Linked DNA regions of Rhinolophus ferrumequinum. The protein of the gene in region 2 interacts with the protein of the main gene of each other region in a biochemical or structural test. Links are inferred from orthologs where the notes say so. Each region holds a gene or a part of one and is shown on either strand. Other genes may lie near its edges. The genes, in order: NOLC1 and KBTBD8.

Evidence for each region.
Region 1: the proteins of KBTBD8 (region 2) and NOLC1 form a complex in vitro, tested with the Homo sapiens proteins (2 studies listed by BioGRID). The link is inferred for Rhinolophus ferrumequinum from reciprocal best matches to the Homo sapiens genes KBTBD8 and NOLC1.

The regions. Positions count from the first base shown.
Region 1 is NC_046299.1:22,809,495-22,813,410, forward strand, and holds the start of NOLC1 (nucleolar and coiled-body phosphoprotein 1), read right to left. Parts: upstream 2,870-3,916; 5' UTR 2,783-2,869; coding exon 2,663-2,782; intron 110-2,662; coding exon 54-109; intron 1-53. UniProt on the Homo sapiens protein: Nucleolar protein that acts as a regulator of RNA polymerase I by connecting RNA polymerase I with enzymes responsible for ribosomal processing and modification.
Region 2 is NC_046300.1:60,788,678-60,792,593, forward strand, and holds the start of KBTBD8 (kelch repeat and BTB domain-containing protein 8), read left to right. Parts: upstream 1-1,252; 5' UTR 1,253-1,318; coding exon 1,319-1,334; intron 1,335-1,661; exon of another isoform or gene 1,662-1,797; intron 1,798-1,945; coding exon 1,946-2,156; intron 2,157-3,916. UniProt on the Homo sapiens protein: Substrate-specific adapter of a BCR (BTB-CUL3-RBX1) E3 ubiquitin ligase complex that acts as a regulator of neural crest specification.

The DNA.
Region 1 (3,916 bases), on a different chromosome or scaffold from region 2:
TTCCAGCCCACTTGGGGGTAGAAAATAGCCACAGTGGTACACAGAACACTTACTTGAGCCAGAAGCTATAGATTTCCAAGAGGGAAGAGGCGTTGGCATCCTGTTGGGTCTGTAGGAGAAAAGAAAAGAGACTGGGTAAAAATAATTTATCCTTTATCCTGGTTATTCTAGGGGAGATCAGATTTTGTTATTCTCTCATTAAATGACCTGCTTTATACCTGCTATAGTTCACATAAATGTTACAACTTTGTGTGACTTCTCCTACTTTCACAAATTAGGAAAAAAATATTCTCTTCATGTATTTCCCAATTTTTGGTACCAAAAGCTTGGGCTAGTCTTATAGTTTCTGGCACCATGTATCCCTCACCTGTCCATCCTATTTATCAAAGATTTTTAAAATGTGCATTTCCCTTACTCTAACAACGTATTATCTAGGAATTTATCTTACCCATGAAACAAGGGCACAAACATTTATAAAAAGGATGTTTGCTGCAATATGATTTATAAAACCAAATCACTGGAAAACAGCCTCCAAGAAAAGATTGGTAAAAAGCTATGTATGTCATGTATTCAGTACAGAATTGCATCCAGCTACTAATTACACTAGTATATACAGGGGGTGCCAAAAAAATGTATACAAGTGGATACTTTGGTCAATGTTGCTCAAGCAATAGTTCGCCTGTAATCAGAAGTGTCTGGATCTTGGAGCCTGTGGAGGCCTGCTGGGAACAGGACTTCTAAAACAACAAATATGTCTGGAAGGCTGGTACAAAGCCATTTTTGCTAGCTATAAGCGGGTCTACAGAACCAGAGAATGCACACAACTCTTCTTAAAACTGAAGGTGTTTATGCTCGGGATGAAACTGAATTCTACCCAGGCAAGAAATGTGCTTATGTGTACAAGGCAAAGAACAACAGTGACTCCTGGTGGCAAACCGAACAAAACCAGAGTAATCTGGGGAAAGGTAACTCCATGGAAACAGTGGCATGGTTCATGCCAAATGCCAAAGCAACCTTCCTGCTAAGGCCATAGGACACAGAATCCATGTAATGCTGTACCCCTCAAGGATTTAAACTTACTGAAAACTGAATAAAGTGGATTTATTCTCTTACATTAAAAAAAAAAAAAGGAAGTGTCTGGACGTGCTGATGGTAACCACTTTGAGCACCTCTTGTAATTGCAGAAGTCAAACAAGACTTGAATTCATCTTTTGTTATTGGTATATATTGATTATTACAATTTTAATAGTTTTCCTTTCTTAAAATGTGTATACATTTTTTTGGCACCCTCTGTATTACTGATGCAAAAAATGGCAAGGCATTACAGTACACATGAGTACAGGCTCCGAGTTAAATGAGCAAACTACTTAATCTAAGCTTGTTTTCTTCTCTATAAAATGGAGATGACTAACACTACACATTTTAAGTTGTTGAGAGGATATGAGATAAGGCACATAAAGGGTTTAGCATCTGGAAAACATCTGGCCCTTAGTAAGCCCTCCACAAAGATTAGCTTTTGACACATAAAAAAGAATCCCAATTCTGAAAGGGCCAATTCCATCCAGTCCATTGTGGAAACATTCTTTGCAGCCTCCCTAACAGTCAATTCCAGTTCCAATATGAAAGCAGTTATATCGGATCACATGGCAGCTTAAGGAAGGCATGCCCCAGCTTAAGGAAGTCCTTTCTGAGGCTGATCGGATTCTCAACTTGTGCAGCCTGATTCTGCATCAAATAACAAGTTTATCTTCTTCGTCAATGACTAGCACTGCGAGACACTCTACCCTCTCTTAAGGTTTTTTCCCATACAGTCATGTCTGTTTTTCTTGAGACGTAGCTTCCAAACCTTTTACATCCCTGGTCATCTTCCTTTTACTGTTTGGAACATCTTCAGTTACCAAAACTATAACAGCTTTCGCTCACTGATGCTTCCTGAGCACCAGGCACTGCGATTGCCATTTTGAATACAGGTTACTGAAACTTACAAAAATCCTATAAAGTGAATGACGATATCCCCATAGAAATAGAAACTGATCCAGTTTAAGCAAGCTGGAGTCATACATCTTTAAGCGGCAGAGCCTGGTCCCAAACCTGTATGTGTTTGATTCCACAAGTCAAAGATCCAAGCCCACTGCTGTGCCTGCTTGGTAGGGATATGAGGCTCAATCCCACTTCAGTATAACTGAAAACAGAACCCTGCCTCTACTCTCGTTCATTTTCTTTACTAACGAAAACCCCAGGCTTCTAAAGCAATTTTATTTATATTTGAATCCAGGATAAATTCGATTAAGAATTAAAATCTAGTCACGCTTGGCATCAGCCAACGTAAGGCCCAAAGAATGAACCAGGAGTCTCCAATGCCTCCCTCCGGTGGTACAGGGCACTCCCTCCACGCCGCACTCGCCAGCCACGTGATCTGGGCCACGAGGGTCCCACGCTGCCGCCAGAGCACTGCTCACCAGAAAAAAAGCAGCAAGACTCAGCGCTATTTAATCAGACCTCGTGGGCTCCAGGCTTTCTCCAGTCACCGCGGAGACTTCCGCACAGGCGCCACAGACACTGTGCTGGCAGACCCCACCGACCTACCTGGCAACCTAAGCATGTCAGGGCCGGGAGCCCCGTGGTCATCCCACCCGGCCCGTGCCCCAAGCCCGGGACTCACAGCGCCTGTTGCCTTGGCGAACTTATTGGCCACCTCCGAGAGCTGGTTATCGCGCAGAAAGCCGAGCACGAGAGGATACAGGTCGCTGGGAACCACGCGACGCAAGCCGGCGTCCGCCATCCTCCGGGCAATACGCGTCACTACCGTTCCCGACACGCACGACAGAGGAACTCAAGAACCCGGAGACGCGAGGACAAACCCTGTGACGCCATCGCGCCGCGCGAGCGCACAGCGGAAGGGGCGGGCACACCCCACAGGGCAGTCCCTCCTCCACCTGGAGGCAGGGTCAAGGCGAAATCTGTAAACTCTTTCCGGTCCCAGGAGTGTCGCCATCTTGGTAAGGGCGGAGTCTGCCGCCGCCACTTTGTGAAGGCGGAGCCCTGACGTAAGGGGTCACGCCCACGGCCATGGCGGGAAAACTCTGGACTTCCCGCGCCGTCTTTCTCCAGGAGGAACCTTTTCTCCCAGCAGCAGTTTTCCAGCGCCCTAGCTGGGATTCGGATTCTAGAGTAATGTGGACCCGTGGGCTCGAGCTATCCTGGGACTCTCTAGATCAGGGGTGTCCAACCTTTTTTCAACGTTTTTCACCAAGGGCCATATGTGGAAAAATACACAAACAGCTGGGCCATTCACTCCAGGTGCAGTACATACTGCCTCACCTGGTTTATTTAAGTAAACTAAATATATTTTTGGAATTTGCTGTGGGCCAATTAACAATGGATTGCGGACCGCAGTTGGCCTGCAGGCTGCAGTTTTGACACCCCTGCTCTAGCCCGGCATAAGATCTCCCAACCGCCCCCATTCTCCTCGCTACCAAAGGATTCCCACCCTTTTATCTTCACCGCCTCCAACACCTAGGGAGACCCTTTCTCAGATACCACCCCAGCCTCTGGATTCCCACCTCTATGAAAAAGGATCCTTCAGATTATCCGTGGTAGAGGTGGAGTGTTGATCCCCAAAACTGTCCCTCCCTCACTCATGTCTTGCCCATAAGACAACCCTTTCCCCTCCTTACTCAGTCTGTTAGTTCCATGAAGGTAAAAGGGGTTGTGCAGCAAACCTGGGTGACACAGCAGCAATCTGTTCAAACTATAGTCCTGATAATAACCCTTCTACCTCCTGGGTCACAGTTCACATAGATCTAGAAAACCCCCCAACTGCCTATCCCTTTGTCCTGAATACTCAAATGTCAATGCCCAGGCCTGCCAATTCCAAATTCTATCATATTTCAGTTCACATCAGCAGACATCAATT
Region 2 (3,916 bases):
TAGAAAAGCTGTGCGTGGACTAACTAAATTTCTACTAGAAATTCCTTCCCAATTCACCGATAGTACTTCCTTACATTTCCAAGGTCTAGAAATAGCATCTCCAATGTTAGCTCATTTGTGTCTTACATTTATTTTTAAAATATTAAGTATCTATAATGTTCCAGGCACCTTGTTAGATACCAGCAACACGAGAGAAGTAAATGAAAACATGTTAACACTAAAATTTCTGCTTTCTTTCGTAAGGCTTGCAGCCTATGAGGCATTAAGAATAGGAATTACTATTCACATGTTACAGGTAAAGGAGCTAAGTGCTCAAGAATTAAAGGGTCTTATCTAAGGTCCCGCATTTAGTAAGTAAAGAGCTAGGGATTCAGTAATCGTCCCTGGCTCCAGGCTCAAGGCACTCTCCAGTATTTCTTCAAAGGAAATCCCAGACTTGTATTTAGTATCTTAACTCCTCCATTTCACGGGAGCAAAAAGGAAAGCATCTTGAATCCCTCTATAAGGTTCACGTGCTCTTAAAGGTGGAACAGGTGTTCTCTGAGTGTTTGAGAAAAGCAAGGCACGACTGGGAGTTAAGATCCCGAGCAGCCCTTGTAACCAGACCAAGTTAATCTGTGGAAACCGAAGCACTCGGCCAAGGCGATGCTATTTCAATTGGGTGTCACAGGTGATTCATCAAAGATGGGTTGCTTTTGGGCCTCCTGATATTTTTCTTCAGGGTGGGGTGTCAGATTTCCTTCGCAGTTTTGGACAACAGCCCTCTTCTCCATTTCCAAGTTTTTTTGTTTTTTTGTTTCATAGCCTGCTTTCATACCGGAAGCTAGTCATTGGCAGGAGGTTTAAGGAATGAAGAGCAAGATTAAAAAAATAAATAAATAAATAACCCGGGGGCCTGAGGAAGGCCTAAAATGGGGAAATTTTCACTTCAAGAGCTTTCCCTACCCTAGCCTCTCAGAATGACAGCTCTCTTTCGCCAGAAGACTACCTCTCCCGACAGGCACTGCGCGCTCCACGGACACAGGCTGGCAGGCTCCCCACTCTCCACCTCCGCCAGAACCAGCCAATAGGAATACCAGACTTGGGCCTCCGCCCGACCCGGACCACGCGGGAGAGAAGGCAATAAAACTACATTTCCCGAGGTGTCTTGCGCACGTTGTGACCAATCAGCGCCAGGAATACGGAAGGCTAGGGGTGGAGCCGGATGCATAGGCCACCCCATTGGCTAAGGGAAGCTTAGAAGAGCCGGAACCCGGGAGAGAGAGAAGCGAAATGACATTTCCTCTTTAAATAGCTGGAGCCGGGGCCCCGTGGAGAAATGGCCGCGTCGGCAGGTGGGTCGTATCGTGGCTAGGAGGTGTGTTGCGGGGGAGGTGGGCCGGGGGACGGGCTCAGGCTGGGAGCTGTGAAGTGGAGATGCGGAGCCGGAAGAAAGGATGGAGAGGTGAAGAGGGATAAGGGGAGGGAGGATGGATGGCGTGGAAGGCGGTGGGCGGTCCGGCCGGACAGGGATGGGGAGGCCGGGTACCCGCCGCCGTTCCGACACTTTCGGGTTGAATGGGTACTGGCGGCCGCCATCCATTGAGCGTCCCTCGTGAGGCTCCTGCCCTCCGCTCGGCTGGGACGTTCCGGCTCTCGGCACAGTCGCCACAGACACCTCGCCTGTTCTGTCCGCACGGTCCCTCCGCGAGCACGGGGCATCGGGCTCGCCTGGCTCCGGGAGCAGCAGGCTGGTGTTTGAACTTGCAACGCAGCTCGCTTTCTCCCAGATCCTACCTCACGGCCCCATTTGGTGGTGTATGTACACATACACGTATTTTTGTACGGGGGGGGGGGGGGCAAAAAACAAGCCAAGCAAACAAAGCAGGGAAAAAAAAAAAAAAAAAGCCCGCTACGCCGTAACTGGTTCCGAACTTACTGTGGTTGTACGATTTTCTCCTCCTAGATTTAAATAAGTCTTCCCCAACACCGGATGGGATTCCATCTTCAGACACAGCCAACGATGCCATGGACCCCTTCCATGCTTGCAGTATTCTTAAGCAACTCAAAACAATGTACGACGAAGGACAGTTGACAGATATTGTAGTGGAAGTGGATCACGGGAAAACATTCTCCTGTCATAGAAACGTTCTTGCTGCAATCAGCCCTTATTTCAGGTATGATAATGGTAGAAACTTCTGTTGATAACCGCATCAAGTTCCCTTTCTCCCTCAGCATTGGCCATTTCATTACCACACTGAGGAGCTACAATGAAATGAAACCAATGAGTTTGTTTCCTAAAATAGGTCACAGGCCCTGTTTTTTAAACTCTTGTTTTTGACTTGTTGGATTCTTTTAGAATTCAGGTGGTTGTTTTTTAAGTTAGTGAATATTGTTTTGCTTCTTTGTTTCAGGTAAATGACCAGAAAATCTAGAACTGCATTGCCCAATATAGCAGCCACTAGCCACAAGCGGCCTTTTAAACTTTATTTACAATTAAAATTAAAATTTCAGTTCCTCAGGCACACTAACCACATTTAATGTGCTCAGTAGCCATATACACAGCCCAGATATAGAGCATTTCTATCACTGAAAGTTTTATCGGACAGTGCTGGTCTAGAATTTGTTACAAAATTTTATCCATGGTGCATATTTCTGTAGTGCATGTAACTCCTTTAGAGTTTAAAACGTGATAGCCTGTTCTTTTGAAAACAAATCACCTTACTAGGTTGTTTAAATACCATGGGTGTGTGTGTGTCGGGGGGTGAGGATGGGGGTAAAAGCAGTGACATAAAAATATAGTTTCTGTGTATTTCATACTTCAGACTAGTGATTTTTTTCCCCAAGATTTCCAGAAGTATTTTTAAGCTAATTTTTCATTTTCATTTATACACATCTTTGTATATCACAAAACTTTGAAAAGTAAATTTTTAAAACTTGAGTCTAAAAAATAATTTCATACTCTAAGAAAATATCAGTGATAAAGGCAGTTTCCTGCTTGAGTCTAAATTCTTTTGTTTCAAGTGCTCACTTTGCAAAGCCTTTCAATGTTCAATAATGGTGCATGAATGACAAGAAATAATTTTCTCAATCACACTCTAAGTGTGCTTTTTCCTTTTGAAGGTGCTTACCTTTATAGGGCATATAGCAGTATAGTATTCCAGGCAGTAGTTTCTGGTTCCTCTTTCTCAGAATACTGGGTTAAATATAGTCACTTCAGTCAGATACTTGTGATTTAACTGTTTAGACTTGCCTAGGGTAGGTCATTAGACTATTAAGTATTAACTATCACAAGACAGTGAGCTGGAAAGAAAAAAGAAGAAACTCATACAGTACACAGAAGGTATAAAGTTTGGCCTGGTAATGAAAACTGCTGGTGAGATTCACTTATCCAGACTGTCCATTAGATATGGGTAGGTCATTTATGCATTTAAATATATGTCATAATTAACTACTTATCAAGCTGTTGGCTAAGCTTACTTTATATATATTGCTTTATATAACTTTACAATTCTGTCTGTGCATAGTTATTGCCATTTTTCATATGAAAAAAATCCTGAGGCTCAGGGAGGTTAAGTGGCCTATCTAAATCACCTATTAGTAAGGGGCAGCGGCTGGATTTGATTCCAGTGCCAGGCTTCTTTGTCACTATATGACTTTTAAGGAACGAGAGTGGGTCCTCTTTAAAGTTGCCTTTCAGAAGTTTTTATTACATTAGATTTGAATAGTAAAAAACCAAACAAAGAAAAAAAACCACACAGGAAATATTTAGACTTCAAAGTAAAAATGTCTGTATATTACTGAAATGTTATGCTCTTATATCATTTTGGTGTCATACTTAATTAAAATTAGTTTTGAAGACCTAGACCATCACAAGACACTTTAAAAGAGAATATGGTATAATAGATTTTAATTTCCAAGAAGTTAAGGAAATGCT